3 linked regions of the Schizosaccharomyces pombe genome follow. The protein of the gene in region 1 binds, or shares a complex with, the protein of each later gene. Each region holds a gene or a part of one and is shown in the gene's direction. Other genes may lie near its edges.

Region 1 (3,960 bases):
TCGTCAAATTTTCTGTTTTTATTAGAAGCATTTTGGTCATTCATATAATCATAGGAATTGTAGTAGTATTCTTCCCAAGACCCCATACCAGCAGAACGACGAGATCTTGAATAGGTAGGATACCTCGCTTGAGACCAATTTTGAGGCGAGGGATGTGTAGGATGAGACGGCTGATTCCAGTGAATTCCAAATCTATCGTATTCCTCACGACGTCTCTTATCAGATAGTAAAGCGTTGGCTGCCAGCAATAAACGAAAGTACTCTTCGTTGTGCTTATTAATTTCTGGCGGAGATTCCGTAGGCGCTAGCTGAGATGCATTCTTCATTTTGTCAGGATGATGCTTCTTAACCAGCTCAATATATTTTCGTTTAATGTCATTAGCCGTACACGTACGAGGTAGTTCCAAAATTTCATAAGGCGTCAATGACTTCAATTCGGAATAGGAAGTAAAACTGGCTGCTCGCCTCCATAAGCTATTTCGCACAAGATTTAACCGAAAAAATATCTTTGACATGTTCAAAACTTGTTCCAACAGAGGCGACGTTAGTTTCTGGATACGATGGAAGCTTTTATGTAGTTAATATTCAACTGAGTAAGATATCAATGTTGCTTCATTGAATGCAAACCGGCTGATCGAGCGCTGCTTTTTTTAAAGTAAAAACCGCAAGATACTCTGGTTCTATATAGTTTTAAAGCTGGATATGTAAAAGGAAGCTGGTTTGGTAAATATTTCAAGAGTTGGTACCATATCCGTCTGCTATCCCTATTTCGTGCCCTTGCTATACTACGTGGGCGAATCGCAGAGTTGTTGAGCTGCACCAACGAATGAGAAGGAAACGCAGGAAAATGTAAAGATTTAGAGTAATGGTATTTAGTAATAACAAACTTATTTTTATTTTAATATTCTTTTAAGAAAATACAAAATTTAATCGCAAACGAATTGAAATATTTTGGAAATTCTTTTTTATTGCCTTTCAAGGACGCCTTTCCTTCGTTAAAGACGCATCATTCTTTTATCGATAGATTTGAAAAAGAAGATCTTTAGTTTCAATCGTACAACACAATTCTTGCTACACGGTGTTTTTTGTTTGTTTGCATTTCGCGTTTCTTTGACCTACAACGTTGAATAGCGTCGCATTGGTGACTTACCTTGGAAATACGTTATTTATTTTCCGTTCGTAATTCTCAAAATTACAGGTTTGCCGTGGATTAAAAGATAATTTGGTCCACGCTTGCTCTTTAACTATCTTGATTGCCCTAATTGTTGTTTCTTTTAAAAAATTTCTAGAATCTTAAGTACTAAAAAAATTTGCCGAAGAGTAATTTTGAGGATAATATGGAAGTGACTATTATTTTGCTTTATTTAAAAGATTCTTTTTTTTCTCTTTTGCCTATCATGTATCCTTTTAATCATATAGTTAGGTTGAAATCAGTGATCTTTTCAATTCATTTCTTCCATGTACAATTTCAGCCGCCGCTTGTTTACAAATATAATGAGCTATTTCAAATTGTTCATTGCATCGCTAACTACGTATATTTGCTTGTAGTTCGTGCACCGTATTCATATTTATGAAGTCGAATGTACTACATTAAATGGGTGCCTTAGAAGCGTTCTTTGTAAACGGAGGATGATGAAAGGAAATCAAGAGAGAGAACTCAGAAAAAAAGGAGTTGTTAACCAGACGATAAATCAGAATTACAAGACGAGCTGATCCTAGAAAGTGATGTGCGGTTTTATGTACTTTGTCCATACCACTACTAAATAGGAACAGTAGCGAATCGTACCGAAGCGCCCTAACTACAACCAATGCCAAAGTGGTAAGTAGTTTCACGGCTGAGACAGTTATAAATTTATTTGTGCGATTCAAAAAGCATTTAAACTCATCGATAGCATTTTTTTTTGACTGAGTATCTCTTAGGGTTTTCCTCCCGTCTTTATAGCGTTAGTGACACCCTTGGTTGCAAAGTGCAATAAATATATAGGTGGTTCGGCTTTTATAAAGCGATTCCAGGAAATATTCTTACTTTCACTGCTAAGGTTCACTAAAAATTCATGATCATAACTTAAAAAATAATTTTTTTATTGATTTAATTACGATGTTACGCTCATTTTCACATTTTCTACAAATTGGCTCGAGGCGGCAGCCAACTTATTTTCGGTGTTTCCATAAAACTACCGTACATCTTAACTCTTTTAAGAATGATCCCAAAAAGGAATTAAATTCCAATTTAAACGAAAAATCCGTAGAGGAATCATCCAAGAATGAAACCAAGGAACAATTTAACTCATCGTCTATACCAAGAGAGAGTGAATCTGAAGGTAAAACTGCGTCAAATACTTCCCCATTATCACCAAAAAAGGTAGAAAATCTCAGCAAGCTTTTTAACGACATTAATGAAGATGTTTCTATCGAAGAGTTAAAGTCTCGTTTCAAAGATCACCTTCCTTTCTATGAAAACTACATTCGTAATCATCCTCTAGCCATTGAAGCACTCCAAAAGTCTACAGCACCACGTCAAACTGGTTTGAAATTGAACTATGTATCAAAATTGGATAAATATGTCACTCCTTTAGATGGATATTCTCATTTAGGATCGGAGGAGTCTAACGGGGAAATTCCTGATAAGTGGGAGGATTTTAAAGATGACCTCACGTTTGAAATTTCTTCAAAGTTTTCCCCATTTGATTTTGGCGATGCTGGTAAGAGCACAAGTGACGCTGAGTTTCTCTCGGATATTAGTGGAATCCCAAAGTCAGATCTCAGAGCCTTAATGTTCGTTCCCCTTGTAAGAAGACGTGTTGTTAATCAAACCCGTAAGGGAAAAATTGCCAGTATGTACGTACTGACTGTTGTCGGTAATCGAAATGGTGTTGCTGGTTTTGGTGAGGGAAAAGCCGAAAGCTATTCATTAGCATACAAACAATCATGTGGACGTGCTGTTAAAAATATGGTTTACATACCTCGCTACGATAAAAGGACTGTATATGGCGTTATTCATAAAAAATTTCATGCTGTCCGGTTAACATTACGATCTCGTCCAGCCGGTATGTTGTTCATTTGTTCTATAAATAATCTTTTAAAAGCTTAGACAGTTCTGTTTTCTGTTTATCGATTAGTTTTATTCGACATGTTTACTTGTCCTGCAATGACAATTTTACTAACTAAATATAGGTTTTGGACTTCGATGCAACCCCATCCTTCATGAGATCTGTAGATGCGCAGGTATAAAGGATATTAGTGGTGAGATACTTGGTTCTAAGAATGGAATGAATACTGTAAAGGCGATGTTTGAGGCTTTACAAAGTCAACGTCTCCCTGAGGATATTGCCATGGAGCGCGGCCAAAAGTTTGTTGATGTACAACGCGAGTATTACAAACAAACATGATAAAGTGACTTTTATTTTTTGTATAGATAAATATTCAATGCAGTCAGTACTCTAATTCTTTACTTCTGGAAACCATTGTGCAGCTTTGTTGTGCAAGATATTCATCTACATCCAATTTGTATCATTATTTCTTTAAACATCGTACATCATTAAAGTCTGAATAAGCTCGTTAATTATAACGTACTACAAAACTCCTATCACTCAACCCTACCCTAGCTAAGAAGTACAGTCACAGGCCTTCGAAACGGAAATTATCTTAGACAAAATTAACGACACCACCAACACTTTGCAGGATGGGACGTGATATATACAAGGACGAGACTTTGACAATCCCCAAGGGTGTTACTGTTGACATTAAGGCACGTAATGTTACAGTTACCGGTCCTCGTGGTACTCTCAAGCAAAACTTGCGCCATGTTGATATTGAAATGAAGAAGCAAGGCAATACTATTAAGTTCATTGTCTGGCACGGATCTCGCAAACATAATGCTTGCATCCGTTCCGTCTATTCTATCATTAACAACATGATTATCGGTGTCACCCAAGGTTTCCGCTACAAAATGCGTCTTGT
Region 2 (3,402 bases), 1.7 Mb from region 1:
AGTAACGCGTTGCTCCTCGTAAAATATCTAAAGGTAAAATGATGATGGGTTAGTAAATTTGAAATATTCGATGGATTAAATAAGAAGCTGGGGAAAAATTATGCAAAAACTATTAATAAGAAGAAAGAATTGTCATTAAAATCAAATTGTATACATTAGTCAACCTTGGTCAGAAGAGGTCTGATGAAAGCTATGAATCAACGAAGAAAAAATGGAAATAATGCTTTATTCTTCAATAATTATCAATATTCAAACTTAATAAACGGCTAAGTTTACAAATTATAAAGCCATTAACACTTTCAACACTTTTTTAAATTTTATTTTATCAGGGCAGATTTACGATACTTCATGAATTGTTAATAGTCAATTAATTTCAACAAAATTTTTAATTAATTATTTTAAATTATCCATGTCAATTCCATCACAATGTCAAGCCAAATTGTATTAAAGCAATATTGCAATGGAATAAATTAATAAAATATCGTTGTCTGAAGATTTCTGTAATAGGTTATTTATTCAATTATTTTATAATTTTTTTTTTTTTTTTTTTTTTTTTACAAATGACTCATGTAAACATTAACAGTCTAATATTACTGTCTACAGATTGTTATATGCATTGACTTCCATTCGTGTTGAGTACTCTAAAATACTCAGCTCCTTAACATTTTTGCAAAGAACAAGTTATGTGGGTCAAGGTATTTAGTTTTTACTTAACTTAAAAGTAATACAATACAAACATTGTAAACATCACGGTTAAAGAACCCAATTAAGCACTATTTCACGTTCATAATAATATAGTTAAATAAAAAATACAGATTTTTTAAATCAAGTTCAATAAAAGATTATTTCGTAAAAAATTTTTTATTTTACTTTGATAGGCTTGAATTAACACATACAGGGAATAATAATGACTAGACGCTGAGCAGATGACTTGCCATCACTCTGTTTACCCCATTTTCTTAAAAACATTGCGTCTTTTTCTTATATTTAAATCATTCTTAAATGGAGTTTCCTGTTTTCTCATGAAACTTACAATTGAATCGAACTTCTTTTAATTATTTACTAAATAGCGCTAGTAATGAAAGTGCAATATTATCTAGCTGCGCATTGTAGTATCTTGTTTGACTTCTGTGAGTTTTCATTGTGATCGGTAATATCATATTATATATAGGTGTGATGTGGGTAGCAATTTGTTGTAAGTATTTATACATGGGTTACGTTGTTACCTGCCATTAATTAACATATAAACGAACCTGTTTCTGTTCAGATGTACTCTGTTTATAATCTTTTGGAGTAAACATGATCAAACACAAACAAGTACTCAAAAGAATAGTTATCAGCAATTATTAGTAAACGAATCTTAAATCTATCCTAACAGATGACATATAGTGATACGCAGCGTAACGTAGTGTAGTCTTGCTTACGAAAATCAAAATATAAGGATAACTAACACACTTTTTAAACAGCGAATGCCAAAAAAGGATGGGAAGCAAGTGCTATTAAATTCCTAAGAAAAAAAAAAGCTTGAAAGTATTATTAGGTGTTTTTATTCAATAGATGTTATAAATGCAATTGAGTAGAATCGATGCTATTTTACGTTACTAACCTTCATTCCAGTCTATTATGTGGTTTTTACTGGTTCTAACTACTAAGATTTAGTGTGTTATAATTATATACAACGAAGTCAAGTCAAGGACAACAATGTTTATACATTCTTCACTATCCCCTTCAAGTACCTTTTTGTAGCTTATTTAATTGTTTTGAGCATTTGGATTGTTAAATTTTAGAAAAAAAGTTTTTGTTAGATTCAGATTTCCATTTATAACGGCCACTCTTTTCGTTTCAAAGAAAATATAAAATCCGGTATCATACACTACTGCGCATTCGTTAAATGTGGTTTATTTTTTTTTATAATACAAATATTACATATATTTAGTGTTTTGGGTGGTTATAAAATGGCTTTTAATCCCCTTTTATCTTTATTGAAAGCAGATGCCATATTCCTCGGGCAACTTTCCAAATCAAGCTTTTGTGCTACTAGTAGAGCTTTCTCTGTTTTCTATTTTACAAGATTTAAGCGAAGTGCTTATGTGTCAGCGCCTTTTGGAATCGAGCCTCATGACGAGAAGGAATTGAAAACAATTGATGATAACGTCCATTCCAATAATCTATCATGGCAGAAAATACAAGAGCACGAGGTCATACGTGAATTGTATAGGAAAGCTGCTTATGAGCTTCCTGGACTTACGCGTAAGTTTACTGGGTAGTTTTACCTTAGGAATTCTATTTCACAATCACTTTAATATGCTTAATGTTCCATTTTCTCTGACAATTATAGCTTACACACAGTCTTTTAAAAAGCCTGCTGATAGCCAGATCTTTAGGTTTGAATCTGATGTCCAAATGTCTTCGTTTGAGAAAATGAATCCGAAGGTCGTTGTTACATTTAAAGTTACGAATATTCCTTTGCTAGAGGAGAAACAACGACATGTATTACGATTATTGGTTGGACCAAGATATAATCCGGAGGAGGATTTAGTCAGAATATCTTCCGACAAGTATTCTTCTGCACTACAAAATAAATATCATCTTATAAAGATATTAACTTCGCTCATTGAAGAATCGAAGAGAAATGCTGAAAAATTTTCACATGTCCCATTGAATACTGGCCATTGGAAATACAAGAAGTGTGATAAACGGATGCCACAGGAATGGCTCGCAGACGCAACTACACTCACTTCTAAAAAGAAAACAACGATTGGCAAGCAATCACATAATACAGTACTTGAACGAGAATCGATAGCAACTACAGATGAATAATATGAAAGGAAAGTTTGTTTAAGTTACTATTAAAATTAACGAGTCTATAATGTAAGCTAATATTGAAGGAATTAATCCTTCTCATTACTATATTAAGATGAAATAAAACTGTAGTATAAAAGGTACTGTTTCTCTAATCATAAATTTCTAACGGAGGGATTTTGTCAATACTACTGAGCCAATTTCTTGCGTTTGATTCGGTAGACATCCATTTTAATGGAAGTTCTACCAACTGTCCCCGAATGCCACGTAGTAAGTCGTAAACTACACGTTTGTCAGGAACTTGTAAACCATTATTAGTACGGGTTTTTGGTTTCTCTGTCTTCGAATCTTCACTTGCACTCGTGTTACCACTACCTTGGGAACCAGCCTTTGGATTTTTTGGATCATTCTCTGACTTTTCATGAGTTTCGTGTAGATTTGACAACTCCTCCTGACGCCAGCGGGCTTGCTCTTCTTTAAAGCGTTTTCCATATTTTTTCCACTCATTATATGATTCCCACGTTAGCATCTCGTCATCCGGTACACATCGAAATATGTGCCGATAAATAGTAGTATTGTTTGAAGCCACTTTAGACCATA
Region 3 (3,395 bases), 220 kb from region 1:
AATTTATTTTACACAGCTATTAGCAATTCGCTTCGCTTATCTTAGATACTTGTGAGGCACAGACTGTCAAAATTTGTTGAAAAGAAGCTGAAACAGTAATTTGCGCGTATGAAAACGTAAGTATTTATGTTTAACACCTAATATAATCGGCATCGTTGGAAATTCATCTTCGTAAAATTCGGTCAATTACCATCGAACTTCGACGTTGTCCTTTTGAAGCAACATTTAAAGGCCTATACCTCGCCAAACTCCTTTTTCATGTCATCTGTCAGTCTGCCATGAATTTCTCAAAAACATTACTAAAAAATTCAAAAGACGGGATTTCAAGTGTAATATTTTCACCCTCTGTCAAAAACGAACTAATTGCAGGGTGCTGGGATGGTAGCTTACTGCATTATCAAATCTCGGAAAATCCCGAACTTTTAGGGAAATACGATTTATCAAGTCCTATTCTTTCTTTAGAATATACAGATGAAAAAACTGCTTTAGTAGGAAATTTAGATGGGACAGTTACTACCCTCGATCTTAATACGCGAAACCATGAGTTTTTAGGAAACCACGGTAAGGGGGTATCGTGCATTTCTAAGTTGCGTTTGGAAAGTAAGATATATATTTTATTAGCCAGCTATTCTATTAACATTTTAGACTGTTTCATTAGTGGGTCTTGGGACAAATCATTTCGTGTTTGGGATGTTCGCGTAAAGCAACCTGTCGAGGGACAGGATATAGGAAAAAAAATTTTTGCAAGTAGCTCGAGAGATAATATATTGGTTCTAGGCTGTTCAGAAAGAGAAAATTTGGTGTACGATATTCGAAATTTAAAACTTCCATTTCAGCGACGTCCTTCTAGTTTTAAGTATATGACTCGAAGTGTTTGCTGTAACCAAAATTTTGAGGGATTCGTTTCTTCCAGCATTGAGGGAAGGACATCTGTTGAATATATTAACCCGTCTCAGGAAGCGCAAAGCAAAAATTTTACCTTTAAATGCCATCGGCAGATACAAAAGGACTACGATATTGTTTATCCAGTTAACGACCTAAAATTTCATCCGATTCATCAAACATTGGCAACTGCTGGGGGAGATGGCGTTGTTGCGTTTTGGGATATACAAGTCCGAAAACGATTAAGAGTGTTAAATCCTTCAAAGATCAATATATCATCTATTTCTTTTAATGTTGACGGAAGCATGCTTGCAATTGCCACTTGTGCTCAAGAAGAAGCCGCTGGTAATATCTATGTTCATGCTTTGGAATCCAACTTTGCAGCTCCAAAGTTAAAGTCATGAAATCGCTCATCAAAAAGCTTCATCCATGTAAAATCTTATGCAGATTCTTTTACTGCATACATATGAAATTTATATTATTTGAAGCACTCCTATTTAATGTTGTAAATGTTCAATATTTCCTCAGTGCTTCAAAGTGATAATTACGGTATTTATTATTTTTTATTCCACTATATATATTAAGTTAATAAGCAATTAATATAAACGCAAGACCATATTTATATAAAGAACGGGTTACGATTAAAAATACTTAATATAAAAACAATGTGACACTATTTGGTAGAAATTATCTAATTTACTTTGTTTCTCTTATTCACATTGTTTATAGTTATTAAAATAACTATAATTATACAGATCGCTAGCGCAGTTCGTAATTTATTTTGACTATTTCATCTACTGAGAATACACTCACAATTTGAACACAACAGAGAAGCCTTCTAAACCAGAAATAAAAAATATGAGGGCTTTGGGCCACCTGAAGCATAAAGCATTTCGTGATTTATTATGTAGGAGACTTTTTGCTGAACACGAAGTTGAACGTCAAAGCAATCTCTATATATATAGAAATCCTGAGCTACCTCTTCGGGTGCGTTTAGAAGCCAAAAAGCGGATTGAGGCTTTACCGACTAATGCACATCCTACAAAAATAAAAAATCGCTGTATTGAGACAGGTAGAGGCCGAGGTGTATTTCGTGCGTTTGGACTTGCAAGGGTACGATTATAATGTCATATAAATGCATTTTTGATGCTGACTATTTCAGTTTCCTTTTCGACTTAAAGCACTAGCTAATAAATTACCCGGAGTTCGGTAAGAATAAGCATTTTTACTTTTGTCACTAATCCATTCAGCAAGGCATCATGGTAATAATCGTTGTTTGTATTTCAATCCATGATAAGCGTTATTGAAATAAAAAGCTTTAATTATCTTCCGTGAATCCATCATGTTTATTATTAGCTAATATTTATTCGCCGTTTAAATGAAGTACAATTATTTGCATGATTACATTCCAAAACTGAATATTTACATTATCAATTGTTTATGATTGCCAATAGTTAGGTTCAGGTTCTGTGAGCGGCCTATCCATTATACTTTTAGTAGATATAGAACTGGTATTGTTGTTCTCTGTATCTTCATCAGGTGTACTATTTTTTTCGTTGTCTTCCTCTTGAGAAGTATCATCCGTTTCTTCATCTTCACTTTCACTGGTTGATGTTTCATATTCTCCTTCAGAACTTTCAGAAGTTTCACTAGCATAAAATTCTTCAAGCGTTTGCTGGCCAACAAATTTTGGACGGTTAATTGCGTTAGTATCTCCAAAATCACGTTTAAAGTTATCAGAAGATAATGCTTTCACACCCGGTGAATTGTTTGAATAAATATTTCCCGTATGAGGGTTTATTGGCAAAACATCCTTGATACCTTCTCGGACAGAATCAGGCGGTAAATCAGAGACATCAGCCCAGTTAGGGATTGGCTCATATCCCATCACGTCTTCATTCAAACATAAACTAGCGGTACCAATGCAGTAGTCCCGAGAAGCAATAATTTCTTTTTGACTATTCCCCTTGCTTTCCAATACGATGCGCCTAGTAAATTCAGAACTCGGTGTACTAGCTAGTTCTTTGTAAAACCTAGCTCTATCTCGTAAATCGTAACTCATGTCAAAGTGTATCAAAGATAAAACATAATTAAAAAGTAGTGACACGACATCATCTCTTGACTCTAAATCGTTTTGCTTCTCTTCAGAATGAGACAAAACATATAGTCTTACCGATAATTCGAGAATTTGATACTTCACTTCTAATGTCTCATCAGCAAAAGTTTTAACAGCAATGCGTAGCACATCAGGGACTAGTCGCGGTATGATTAGTATATGCTCCGAAATAAGCCATAGTGTAACGGATTTGGCCCGCGGTACTTCCAAAGTTTCATACGTTGCAGCTAAATACTGCAGATATATTTCTTTAGGATCATTATGAATGAGAAGCCGAAGTGAAGAGGCAGCTTCTGTCACGATAAGGCTATTATGTGATTTAAGTAACAGCAATAAAGTGTTAAGACAAGAGGGGGCCATAGAAATGTTAGCACTAGCAAAATCACCCAATGCCTTT

The links.
Region 2: mrp5 (region 1) and rsm24 share a complex: the UniProt entries of both Schizosaccharomyces pombe proteins name them as parts of the mitochondrial small ribosomal subunit.
Region 3: mrp5 (region 1) and mrp2 share a complex: the UniProt entries of both Schizosaccharomyces pombe proteins name them as parts of the mitochondrial small ribosomal subunit.

The regions. Positions count from the first base shown.
Region 1 is NC_003424.3:2,283,932-2,287,891, reverse strand, and holds mrp5 (mitochondrial 37S ribosomal protein uS5m), read left to right. Parts: upstream 1-1,878; 5' UTR 1,879-2,098; coding exon 2,099-3,047; intron 3,048-3,174; coding exon 3,175-3,389; 3' UTR 3,390-3,410; downstream 3,411-3,960. Other genes in the region: SPOM_SPAC4G9.19 (DNAJB family protein), read right to left, coding at 1-515; rpl901 (60S ribosomal protein L9), read left to right, coding at 3,683-3,960. UniProt on the Schizosaccharomyces pombe protein: Component of the mitochondrial ribosome (mitoribosome), a dedicated translation machinery responsible for the synthesis of mitochondrial genome-encoded proteins, including at least some of the essential transmembrane subunits of the mitochondrial respiratory chain.
Region 2 is NC_003424.3:562,215-565,616, forward strand, and holds rsm24 (mitochondrial 37S ribosomal protein mS35), read left to right. Parts: upstream 1-1,711; 5' UTR 1,712-1,955; coding exon 1,956-2,250; intron 2,251-2,259; exon of another isoform or gene 2,260-2,338; coding exon 2,339-2,820; 3' UTR 2,821-2,859; downstream 2,860-3,402. Other genes in the region: phospholipase D Pld1, read right to left, coding at 2,954-3,402. UniProt on the Schizosaccharomyces pombe protein: Component of the mitochondrial ribosome (mitoribosome), a dedicated translation machinery responsible for the synthesis of mitochondrial genome-encoded proteins, including at least some of the essential transmembrane subunits of the mitochondrial respiratory chain.
Region 3 is NC_003424.3:2,504,190-2,507,584, reverse strand, and holds mrp2 (mitochondrial 37S ribosomal protein uS14m), read left to right. Parts: upstream 1-1,700; 5' UTR 1,701-1,740; coding exon 1,741-1,995; exon of another isoform or gene 1,996-2,044; coding exon 2,045-2,091; exon of another isoform or gene 2,092-2,132; coding exon 2,133-2,148; 3' UTR 2,149-2,320; downstream 2,321-3,395. Other genes in the region: mitotic spindle checkpoint WD repeat protein Bub3, read left to right, coding at 279-600, 646-1,286; AP-3 adaptor complex subunit Apl6, read right to left, coding at 2,321-3,395. UniProt on the Schizosaccharomyces pombe protein: Component of the mitochondrial ribosome (mitoribosome), a dedicated translation machinery responsible for the synthesis of mitochondrial genome-encoded proteins, including at least some of the essential transmembrane subunits of the mitochondrial respiratory chain.